Linked DNA regions of Drosophila melanogaster. The protein of the gene in region 1 interacts with the protein of each later gene in a pairwise test. Each region holds a gene or a part of one and is shown in the gene's direction. Other genes may lie near its edges.

Evidence for each region.
Region 2: the proteins of intr (region 1) and Galk interact in a two-hybrid assay, tested with the Drosophila melanogaster proteins (one large-scale study listed by BioGRID).

The regions. Positions count from the first base shown.
Region 1 is NT_033777.3:28,787,838-28,792,922, forward strand, and holds intr (intrepid), read left to right. Parts: upstream 1-2,684; coding exon 2,685-3,581; 3' UTR 3,582-3,624; downstream 3,625-5,085. Other genes in the region: CG34295 (uncharacterized protein), read left to right, coding at 1,780-2,646.
Region 2 is NT_037436.4:8,980,450-8,988,434, reverse strand, and holds Galk (galactokinase), read left to right. Parts: upstream 1-2,343; 5' UTR 2,344-2,458; intron 2,459-2,618; exon of another isoform or gene 2,619-3,016; intron 3,017-3,126; exon of another isoform or gene 3,127-3,203; 5' UTR 3,204-3,209; coding exon 3,210-3,382; intron 3,383-3,448; coding exon 3,449-3,622; intron 3,623-3,767; coding exon 3,768-4,501; intron 4,502-4,698; coding exon 4,699-4,903; intron 4,904-4,961; coding exon 4,962-5,148; 3' UTR 5,149-5,331; coding exon of another isoform or gene 5,332-5,712; 3' UTR 5,713-6,223; downstream 6,224-7,985. Other genes in the region: CG5068 (uncharacterized protein), read right to left, coding at 1-49, 112-336, 392-703, 1,041-1,150, 1,210-1,408, 1,477-1,550; CG13314 (uncharacterized protein), read right to left, coding at 5,332-5,712.

The DNA.
Region 1 (5,085 bases):
AGACCATCAGTGACATCGAGGGTGGTGCCTTGGCTTGGCGGGGCATTTTGTTTTGGTTGAAGGAAATCGCCGGAAGGACTACTTCTCGAGTCGCATCCAAGCGGCGGCCTCTCATTTATTTCATGCTCCATTGCATTGCGATATGTGTCAGGAACCGTGCAATCAGACACTGGAAAAAATTAATGATAAGAAGTTTAAGACAAGGTAAGCCAAATATAATATATATAATATTTAATCTTTTAGTGGTTATCTCAAGCTTGGAACGGAAATAAGATCATTCCGTGAGGCACGCTGACTACCGGCAAAAATCGTCGTGCTTGGAGCCTCAATGTTTCCTCCCAGTAGTGTCATAAAAAACCAAAAAGAAAAATATACATTTGTTTCCTGTGCACTAGGAATAACAAGAGCCTGGGATCTACGTAAGCCAGTGTCTTAAAGACAGCGTTTTTCCAGATCCATCTGGGACTTGTTTGGCCAGCTCACTACTCGCACTCGTTGTTTTTATTCAATTACCAATTCGAATTCGAATGCTGTCATAGCCTCACTCCAGTTCCTCGCAAGCAGCTGCAGCCGTTTGTCTTGCCAATTGGCCGAAGCCATCAACAAACCGAACCCAAGCGGAGCATTATTGTAATTCAGGCAGCTACCAACCAACCAACCACTCGCTCTCGATTTTAAATTGTTTGGAAGTAATAAAAAGTTTATCAAGTGTAAAGCGAAAAACAGCGCACGAAGCCCTTGACTTTCGGCACTCGGTGTTAATTGTTTGAGCTTTAAGTTGGGAAACGGTGCCACATTTCAAGGACCTGGTAAAGTAAAGCTCCCAGGGCTTTATTCAAGGCGAAAGTAATGCAAAACAATGGGCTCGAAAACCACCCACCAACACAATCACTAGCACAAAAGCGGAGAAAGAAAGACGCACAACAAATAAATCAATTGGCTTTGCCTAAAACGTTTGAAATTGATTTCAAGTTCTTTGGCCCATTGTTTTTATATGCAACAAAGGGACAATTTTTCATTTCCAACGATAACAATAAAAGCAACACAAGGTCCTTTTCATGGTGGAACACACTGGGATAGACACACACATGCGGTCGATCCCTGGGCATGTAAATTGGCCGCATTGTTTATGAGCTCTGCTATCCTGCGTGTCCTCCAGCCTCGTCCTTCGAGGGACTATTGATTGTCAATTCAGTTTAAGCGCCGCCCATAAATTCAGTAAATGAGCAGAGGTCCAGCCGAAGCTGCTGCCATTTTTCTTAATTTGCTGAAATGCACAAAAACAATTTTCGATTTCCACGAAAGACGCCCACATCGCGAATTCGAATTCAATGGTTGATAGTTTGCTATTATCCTTAATTTCTACAATATTTTTATTCTTTCATTTCATTTACCTAACACATTTTAAAATATCCTTTAGATAATCTCTAAAATATAGTCACTTGATTTGATTTAAAAACATTTTTAAAGCTAAACGATGAGGTAATATTACTTATCATTCTTAAACCCCCAGCCGGAGAGCCAAAAGGATATCGAGTTGCACTTCAAATGTTTGTGTGCCCTACCTTTGTTTGGTCATTAGACCTGACACGTTGTCAACACGCAACAACTGCCAACAACTGACAGCCGTCAACTGTTTATGTTTGCCATTTAGCAGGCAAAACATTTTGATTACGCATACGCCATGTGGATCGAAGCGACGTTTGTTGCTTTGACAGGCGCCTCGAATTCCATTCGCCCATAAATAAAAGTCATCTGCTGGTTATCAGTCGATTGGAGATGCATTCGCTGCTTGTTTGTGTTTCAGCGCTTTGGTTTTGTCAGCTTTGCGAAGCGGCGATTGGAGCTCAACTCTGCAAGGATTGTCGTGTGAATGTGATATATCCTAGTGGCGGAAGAGGCAACCATCAGTTGTCAGAAAACCGTCAAATAGTTAGAATCATCAACAAATACAAGCCAATCAGAAGGCAGGAACTGGAATATCAAAATGAGATCGGGATGAGCCACTTGCAATTCAGCTTTATTGCGAAGATAAAGGTGGGAAATGCGGTACGATGCAGTGCGGCCTTGGTGGCTCCCAGTTTGGCCATCACCTCCAGTAAGTGCTTTTCAAACGACTCTTTCAAACCGCTGCAAATTATCTTCACCGGCGGAAGAACTATCGCTGTGGATAATGTAGTCAAAGCGGATTTCTGTCCTGAGCTTAGCATTCTTCACTTGAAGAGGCCGTCTGAAATCAATCCAATTGCCCTATGCCAATATGACGTACCATTGGGCACAAGAGTATCAATGATGATGGCCACTTCGGATCTCAGATATTACGGCCGTCGAAGAACTGAAATAATCTCAAATCGTGCCTGCAAGACAACATTCCTGGAAGAGGATTCAGTTTTTATAACTCCCAGTATGCTGTGTGCAAAGAACTCAATGAATCCGGAAATGTGTGCAACTTCTCCAGGTGATGTCCTACTTATAGACCATCAATTATGTGGCTTAAACGTTTATGGATTTCGCTGTTTTCAAAATGCACTCAATGGTGATCTCTACATAAGTCTAGGCAAACTGCAGCCCATGATCGGCGATTTGATCCGGAAACTTAATGGTTTAAGTGAAGAATTTAAATCAGTTACGGGGAAAGAAACCTAATTGTTGTGATTTGAGACTGAATCGGTTGAAATGTCATAATGCAGCTTAGTCAGCTAGTCATAATATTAGCAGTCTCCCGAGGATCAGTTTACGGATCTTCTGAGACCGCTCCGCAGTTTAATGTGGGTGAAATACCCAGCAATGGACAGCCCTATCAGATAGTTCGTGTTATTGAGTATATAGTGCCCTATCCCTACCAGAGATCACCGAAAATTTCCGCTAGATTCTCAAGCGGAGGCAACAAAGAACCCAACAGCCTAGAGATAATTCCCGCTGAAATCGAGACTCTCCTTACCGATGGACAAGCCACAACAGAGGCACCAAAGGCAGTGAAGCATTTCGTTATGCGAATCCTTTATGAAAACAAAGTCATTTGCAGTGGTGCTCTAATCTCCACTCGTCTGGTTTTAACCTCCGCCCTCTGTTTTCCCAGGACTCTGCGTCAACCTCCACCTCGTTCGTACAAACTGCAGGCTAGTCGGAGTCGGATATATTCGGTGGCCAATCTAATTACCGGCGCTATTGAGGACATGGCCCTATTACTGCTCCACGCTCCACTGGAGGATCCCTTCGTCCATCCGATTGATCTCTGCGAGTCACCTCTCCGAAGGAATGACAATGTAACCATGTACATGTCACAGCAACATCTGCGTTTCCTGCGCACCAAACTCATTCCCAATAGCAATTGCAAAAGGAGCTATGCCCAGGATGAGAACGCCTTCATCACGCAGACCATGTTGTGCGCCCTTAATTCAAACCGATTGGTGGACTGCCAGACGGCAAAGGGGGATGTCCTCCTCCACCAGGATCGGTTGTGCGGAGTGGACATTTACGGGCAACACTGCTCCGATGGTGGTGTCAATGGAGAGCTGTATGCGGACGTCTTTAAGGCCCGGACTGAACTGATGCACTTGATTGAGCGTTATTCGAATTAAATGATTTAACAGGGAAATTGCCGAATAAAAAATACATTAACTTAGTTCCTTTCCAATGGTTGTTGAATAAAAATTTTTCAATAACATCTGAAAGTTAGAGAGTGAACATAGATTTACTGTCGCGATTCAATGTTCGTGCGCTGCCCAAATCGAATCAATCTCACTAAACAAACACTGAAAACAAAAGGGCAAAAAAAATCGCAAATAAAATCAGGGGATGCCGCCTTCTGTTGGTCGCGGGCAAAATTGAAAGTCGCCACCAACAAAATCAGAGAAACACAAAGAGCACAAGCGATGTTTTTTTAACATTTTATTTTCTTTCAATTTGCGGCTTAAAAAGTTAACTGTTTCCATCAAAATGCCCTGAACTGCAATGACTATGATGTATGTAAATTTGAGCGAAAAAACAAATGGCAAAAAACGAAAATTGCGAAAAAAAAAACACACAATAAGAGACACAAGCGCCACCCAAACCCTCTAAAATCATCATGACAGGAAAAAGGTGTTACACTTGGCTTGAAATTTACACCGTCGATGGGCGGGGCAGCAAGGGGGCCTCTGCGGCAAAAAGAGGAAGAGATGGAGTCCTGCGAAAAAAAAACCCAAAGCTTCACCGGCGGCCATGGATACGTAGCTGGCTTTTGGCTTTGCCTTTGCGCTAAAATATGCAATTTTGTCATGAAATATGCACATGTCCACCGCGCGGCAAGGACGAACCGTCGTGACACCCACCGCCACCCACCTACAGCAGCACTATCAGCGGCGGCAACAAAATAAATTTAAAAGGCAACATACATAAATAAATTAAGCATTTAAAAACCCAGCGGGAATAATGAAAGCTATAAAAGGCTTAGGCAGTGCGAGTCTGGAAGTGCCCTTTACAAGGATTAAGGTAATTATAAAAAACTTAATGGGAGGTAGGTATGAAACGCTGCCAAGGAAAATCTTTGCCATATAAAATGACAGCGAATTAAAATAGCTCTTCAATTGAGGTGAAGACAGGAATGATATATGTACAGCCCAAGATATAATCCAATCAAAAATTGACCAAATCAGCTAAATCTATAGTGCATCCAGAGTATCTATGCGGTCTAGAGAAAAGTTTCCATAACTTTCCCACCAGCCACGCCCACCATTTGACATTTAAATGCAACGAAGCCTGTCGAAAATGTTGCCGCCAACATCATCGCGAACAACTAAATTTATGTACATAGAAATTAATATTAAAGAAAAAACGAACAGCGTGTATTTGTATAAAATAAAGGATGCCATAGTGGGTGATGGTATTGGTGCGACACGGGATAATATTGCAATTGAAAACAACAAATGGCATGAAAAAACTTCAACACTAGTTTGATGATAAAAACAATAAAACAAATATATATTCCATTTGACTAAAAATTGCCGCCCCGTGGGAATTCGCGGGGCTAAAGCGACACCCCCAAGCCAATTGATCCACTTTAGCCACTTCGCCCCCGCTTTTCAGTGACCCGCTGACCTACCG
Region 2 (7,985 bases), on another chromosome or scaffold:
GCCCACCCAGTACTTCTCCGACTTGGACAGATCAATGCGCCAGGTGTAACTGAGAAGCAATCAATGAATAATTTGTGTTTTAACTAAAATAAAATAAATTGGACTACGTACTTTTTGGCCGCTTCGGTTGTCGATTTGGTCGTGTTGGGCTTCTTGAAATCCGCGCCAGCTGCGGCACTTTCTGAGGAGCCATCGGCGGCGTCATCGCCCGGCGGTGACGATTCTTCATCCTCCGAAATGCTAAACGGATTGGGAAACATACTGTTGTGGTGGGCCTCCTCCAATACATCATCTGGTAATGGCAGATCATTCGTTGCCAGTTTGTTCGTTGTACAACTGCGTGGGATTGATTTATTATTACTTTTCTGTCGTTTACGACAATCCTACTCACTTTATTATCTGTCCCGGCATGGACACTTTGGCGCTGTCCACATTGCGCACTTGGCCGCTTCGGATGCACCACTCGATAGCATTCGGAATACTCTGGAAATACTTTGGACGGGAGCGCAGAAAGCTCTGCATGCTGGCTAGTGCCTCCATGGCTGTGCCCTCCACAACATCGATGACGGTTATTCCAATCAAATTGGGCACCAGAGCCATGTGGGCAAAGTGGACGGCGATGGCGCCGCCCATCGAGTGGCCAACCACAAAAAGCTGCGGCACTTCTTCAGGATAGAGCTTCAGGATTAAGTCACCGATGTCCCTGTTTAGAATATTTTAAACATTATTATAGATTATAGATTAGATTATTATGGTTTTTAGCTTCAACCGTGAATAAAGTAACTATAAAAAACTAAATAATATTTACAAATGAGTGATCGTTCAAATAGATCGACCTACTTTAAGTGCAGTGCGCTATTTTTATAAATAAAGAGATTATGCAAGTTTAGCCTAATCGTTCATAAAGCTAAGAGTTAATGCGAGAAGTTTTACTCGACAAAATCTTAAAAATATTGGTTTTTAATGTAAGCAGTAGAAAAATTTGCATAACCATCTCTAAAACATATTTTGAGAACAATATTTTTTTGGATTCAACTCACTTAGCCAACGTATCAGCGGAGAGATCGTCCTCGTCGTCCACCTTGCTGTCCCCATGACCTCGCATATCGATGCACAGGCACTGGCAGTGGATCATGCTGGTCACCTCAGACTTAAATGGATATATGTACATGTTAAGACTATTTAACAGAATATATCGCATTCACTCACACAAAAGTGCGCCCAGGTGAGGGCAGAGTAGCCACCGCCGTGGAGCAGAAGGAGAACTGGACCCGGCTTCTCCGGTTGCTTGGTGCGATAGATGCGGAAGGTGCGTTGCTCATCCACCGTGACGTCCTCCTTCTCCGCAAAGAATTCGTTCCACATGCCCGGCTTGTAGTCGCGAATGCGCGACTTCTTGAACGAGTCCCTGTAATTAGCCAAATTGGGTAGAGATTGCGTACTCCCCACTCCAGTCGCAGAATACCCTGCACTTACGCTCTGCCAATGCGCCCGCCAGGAATTGTGGGTGGCAGCTTGCCCTTCAACATCGTGCGCTGTAAACTCGACATTGATCCGATTGTCTTCGCTGTGGGGTCAACAGGTGGTGCTCCTACGGTGCAGGTGCAAGTGGTTATTCACACAGTCGTTGCTCGCAATTATCCGTTTTCGAAAACAAAAAAATAGTTCCAATTCAACGAAGAAGTATTGCAGTGTGACCGTAATCGAGAAAACCGTAACTGACGCCAGCTGGCAGCGCTGGTTCAAGAGCTGCACTTGGCAATGCCCTTGTCTGGCAACGCCTAACCGCAACAGTCAACATTTCAAATTCCAAAACGGATATTTTAGGCTTTTGCAATCAAAGACGAAAATCCGTACCATACTGAAACAACAACAGTTGTATATTTTAATGTTTGTACATTTTAATCAATTAAGTATTTTAAAAGTTTATCTACGAAAAAATTGATGAGCTCCCCGAAACACTTGTACCTTATCAGCTTTGTAAATACTTCACATTAATGGCAAAATAATAAGCAAGGTAATAACCTTTCGCAAAGTGGATGTCAAAACCACTTTTTAAAGCAGACAAAATTTGGAAACCAGTTTTTTAGAATGCTAACAAGAAAGAATTCATATGCTATGAAGATGTTTGACCCATTTAACGGTAAAGACAGCTAGTTATAAACTAACAAAGCTCTCAACAAGTTCCTACTGATACACACAGTGCAACATCGCTAGCTGGGAAACTGGTGTTCTATAAGGTCTCCGAGCATTTATATTTCAGTAATGCTACTGATAAGGAAGTATCACTTTATTGTTCATAGTATTCCGGACTAAGCAAAAACGGAAACGGAACGGGCCGGATTGCTCAGTTGCTTGATGGAACGCGACGTGCTCACACCGAAAACTAGAACTCCTCTCTGATAAGACGGCACCAAGTTAATTTGACCTCAAACAGAGAAAGATAAGGCATTGTTGGGTATGTATCGGCAAAAGTGTAAAAATCTTGACAAAATCCTTTATATCTGTGTTTATTCTGGTATGTAAACAAAAGGTAAGCTCAATACAGGTTAAGTTTATGGTTTCGAGATAAGATAAATGTCATGTTTGTCATTAATGGTCTATTTAGATTATGCGGCAGTAAGTTTAAGCGGTAGTACTTTTGAAAAACAATTACCAGCTAAGAACTTTATTGCCAAATAATTTACTATTAGTTGGGACTAGACATAAACATCAATTTCGCGGATAAATATTCAAAATAAAATCTTTATCCATTGCGCATTTCAAGGGTTAATGCTTCTGCAAGCCTGGCAACTCCTAAATAACAGCTGTTGGCTATAGTCCTCTCGCTCCCGCACACCCTTCCTTTTCATTTACCGGCAGAAATTGCACTTTTGTACTTGTTTTTTGCCCAATTAAGCGGTCAAATTGGCGTCAATCTAATGTTTTAGTGACTTTGATGCCGTTTCCCCAACTGATAACCGCAATGTTAGTACATCACTTTGTGTGCTAATAGCTATTTGGACATATTGATAAGGTGAGATGGGTTGATAAGCTAATTTTTGCACAACCACAGGTGCAATTGTTTTTCCCTTTGCCACGGCTATTTGTTTACGTATGTAAATTTGTTTTTGCCCATAAATTTAGATTAACCAGTTGCGACACGTTTACGGTTCGTCGACTGCGAAAATAATGGGCATTATTAAAGTTTCACCCGCCTGCAGGTGAACATGACTGCCAACGGGAACGGAACTGCTCAGGATTTGGGTGCCGGCATTGAAATCGTGGCCCCACAGAAGCTCCAGCCGGAATCCAAGGTTTACGGGCGCGTGCAGCAATTGACCGCATTTTTCAAACAACAATTCGGAGCGAATCCGGACTTTATCGTTCGAGTGCCAGGAAGGTGAGCAGTTCCACTCGTGGTGCACATCTATAGTCCCTTATCGATGATATCTCCTCCTTCTCCTAGGGTCAACATCATTGGCGAGCATGTGGACTACTGCGGCTATTCGGTGCTGCCCATGGCTGTAAGCCAGAGCATTTTCCTTGCAGTGGCCAAGAATCCTAGTGATAGCCAGCTTCAACTCAGAAATCTCGAGGAAGCGAAGTTTACGGGCTACGATGCCGATCTCAAAACGCTCAGGTGGGTGAATCAGAAACATGATAATTACCGACCTTAAGCACTAGAAAATTTTCCATTTAATTTGTTATAATAACAATGTCACCTTGAAGGCGGTATCTAAACGAATTTAGAAATGATAAGTCCAAATATTTTTTTGCTATTTTAGAATCGAGCTTCCAAAGAGTGGTGGACCCGCTTGGTATAACTACTTCTTGTGCGGCATCAAAGGAATACAGGAGAGTCTGGGCAGCCAGTGGAAGCCCATTGGCATGCGCATTGCTGTGGACGGTAATGTGCCCTTGGCGGCAGGACTCTCCAGTTCGAGTGCCATGGTCAGCTCCGCTGTGTTGGCCACCGCACACGTCCAGGGCAAGAAACTAGATCGCAGGGAGCTGGCTTCCATTTCGGCCATGTGTGAGCAGTACATTGGAACGCACAGTGGTGGTATGGATCAGGCAATAGCCTATTTGGGCAGAGTTGGCTGCGCCCACCACATCGAGTTCCATCCCAAGCTCAAGGGCACTCCGGTGACCTTGCCAGCGGGCAAGTGCTTCGTTGTGGCCAACAGTCTGGCTCAAAAGAACAAGGCTGCTTCGTCGGACTACAATGAACGAGTGGTGGAATGCCGATTGGCCACTAGATGGCTGGCCAAGCGCAAGGGCTTGATCAACTGGGAGGATATTGTGCGCTTCATTGATCTAGAGGAGGCGTGCCAAATGGATAATGAGACTTTCGAGAAGTTGATTAAGGACAACTTAACGAAGAGCAACTACACGCGAGCGGATATCTGCAAGGAGTTGGGAGTCACCGAACAGGAACTGGAGACCAAGTTCCTATCCGCCAACACTCGGCACATGGAGCAGTTCAAGCTGCGTCAACGTGCTCTGCATGTTATTCAGGGTAAGTTAATCATTTACAATCAGGATTTCACATTTAATCTGAATCATTACGTGTACATTAAATTTATTGATCACCAAATGAATAATTACAGTCAATTAATAATACGTTGACATTCATTTGTTGTCCGAAAGATTTAAACTCTTAGCAAATAATATTAAATTGCAAGATCAGTTAATAACATTGTTTCCGCCTAACAGAATCCGGTCGCGTGGCCAAATTCCGGAAAATTTGTGAGGAACTCGCCGGCGGAGCCAATAAGGAAGGTGCAAAACAGCTGGGTGAGCTCATGCGGCAATCCCACGAGAGTTTAAGGGAGCTATACGAATGCTCTCATCCTGATGTAGAGCGCCTGATTGCCATATCGAACCAGCAGAACGTTAGCGCCCGAGTCACTGGAGCTGGGTAAGAAAACCGATATCCTAGTGACTCTATGAATTTAATCAACATTATTCTTTTTCAGTTGGGGCGGTTGTATAGTTGCCATGTGCGATTCCATAGAAGCAGCTGATGAGTACATAAAGGTTTTGAAGCGCGATTACTATGCTCAATTGCCAACACATCTCCTGGAGCGTCATCAGCCCAACAACTTTAGCGAAGTGGTCTTTGCCACTCTACCAGGAAACGGAGCCGAGTTGTATATACAGTGAACGCTTGTGTAGCATTTTAATCCAACTTTTATACCAAAATCATCCTATCAGTCACTATAATCAAACGGTCATTTATAGAAAAAACATTTAATATGTAGAGTACTATGTACAATATATTAACAATTTACAAGCTAAAATACAACAAGGCACGTGGGGAACGGAACTCATCTGGCATCGTGAGTTCTATCTGCTACTCAGATAGCCGGCGTTCTTGAAGAGCTTGTACACCTGTTCGCGCGGTATTTTCTCCGCCTCACGATGTACCACTGCCATTTCCTTCTTCGTGAGCAGTGATTCCTTGGCCAGATTGGCAGCGATCACGGGATCATTGTAGAACCGCGCACTCTTCGACAGCTCAGCCGGCAACTCAGACTCCCACTGGGCATTTCGCACCACCGAGGGATGGGCATCGGCTGTTGCATATCCCTGGTACGGATTGGCCGGTTCGTAAGCGTGCGCAACCGGCAGACCCAGCGCCTGGTGGTAGAAGAACTGGGCCCGAACCGAACTCATGGCCAGAAGCAGGCATCCAGCGAGCAGCGTTACTTGGCAGGCGGTCGGCATGATTGGCTGCTGGAGGGGAGAAAAGGAGCAGGAGCTGGCATTATTGTCCAACGTTCTAATAAAGCGATACGGACAGATTTATTGCCGCTGGTCAGTGGCAGTTTTTAATCTACAAGTCGGCTGTCAGTTTCGTGCGTCATAAATTATGTACGGGAAAATCAATTATCGCATATGGCCAATGGAGTGGGCAACGCGGAGATCTTGGCTCAAACTGTTACAGTTGCTAATCCATGAACTTTTTTGCAACTTGGAACTGGCTTTTTTTTATTGATAAGAATTGGACTGGCCGCGAACTAAATGGCGAGCTTTATTTGTCAAGCGTAGAGTGCTCCAATTTGGTCGCAACAAAGCAATCGTAGCTTGAGATATAAGTACAGTGGTCTCTCTAGAACTCTTTTGAGATTTTAATTGCAATTGGGTAATTTGCTATAAGGATTGGTGAAAATATTATTTTTTATTTTACGTTATAATGACATTATCGAAGATGCATTTACCAAATGTATTAATTAAGAATACGTTAGCAATGAAATTGATTTAAATCATGATCATCCTTTTTAGGCTTTGATATATTCACTTCGAACTGAAACCCTGATATAATCCTTGAAAATGTGACATTCGTTATTAGATTATACACTCTTTAAACCTTTCTACTTTTTAATGATCACAGCCACTGTACATGCATTTTTATTATGCGCCATTAAATGCATTTACATATTCCAAGTCCAAATTGATACGTTGATTCAGCCAAAGTCAAGGTTACGATCCCACACAACCGAATCGGATTTCGGTTCTCCAAAAAGCACCCACTCGCACAAACACACGACACTCACTCACTTTGATCTGGACTTATTTCAACGGCTAATCCTCGAGAGAAGCACTTCAAATGAAACTGGAACACCTGGGTGAAGTTGAGACTGTAAACTGATCATAGAATATCGAGACGGCGAACTTTTATTCGCTTGCCGTTGAATGCCACAAAAACGAGTTGAACTCAAGTCTGTGAGTCAACCGATTTTCGAATCTCGCTCAAAGCGCCGCTTCTGAGCGCCGAGAATGAGTCAAGTTTTTTTTTCAGACCAGGCTGCTGCTTTACATTTTATTAAATTAATTATGGTCGCAGTGGAGTGGATTGGATTGGATTGAAGTGTAGAGTAGAGTGGAGCGAAGCGGAGGGGACTGCAATTCTGGTACAGACTGACCTAGGCCTAGGCGCTCAGCTTGGGCAATTAAAAGCAATGATATCTGTCTCCGTTTCTCATGCTCCATAAAAGTGCCCCCCAAAAAAGGTCGGACTGCCAGTCGGCAGCGTTATACGCATGGCAAAAGTCGCACAGATATATATCAACGTGCACCATATACAAATACTCGCAAAAACAATAGTTTGAACAATTGATAACTCAATTGGTTTATTATTATTCAAAGATTATTCATCGCAGCACAGAAATAAATATTATATGTTTAACTTTTTAAAAGGATAACTTTCATATAATACAATATCATTCCATTTAAAATTGTATACATAACAAATTTTTGACAGTATTTTGTATATTTTCCAATCACATATTAAATGTATGTATTTTCACAACTAATGCCCGATTTCGTGCACTGTATAGGTAGTAGTGCGATTACAATGATTGACAAGTTTGCTCAGAATCCATGTCCGACTCAATCCGAGCTTTGTGCGATTTTGAAAGTGCCAATTGACCCTGAATTTAATGCTGAGCCAGTAGAGTCTGAAACTCGAGCCGAGCTCCGTGGTGGCTGCACATGTTTGACCCTAATTTGCCACGGGTGTCGGGCGTACATAAATCTGGGGTTATTCAACCGATCAGCCCATAGGCGGAAGCATTACCCGGAGTTGCCTGCACTGGATTGAAATTGCCATAATCACTTGCCGGATGGCAGCCTTGAACTTTCCCGATCTCAGGTGCGTATCCAACTTGGCCAGCGGATTGGTATTTACATTGTTTGGCTGCTTGGATTTTTCGTTTTCGAATTCGCCTCGTCTCTGGGAGTGGTCTCTCGTTTATTGGCCGTGGCTGATTTGATATTTAATTAATGGCCATTTAGCGGCTTTGTAGATGCATATAATAAATAAACAAATTGCTTGGCCCCTGCATTGTTGACTGCGGCCAAAGTTAATGAGCTTGGTCTTTGAACTTTATTAGGCTTTGTCTTCAGCTACGTGACCGAAAATTCGGTGGAACTCTACTGCTGATTGTGTGTTAGATGGATATTTGTAGAAATTATGAATTCATATTTATGATGGGTTT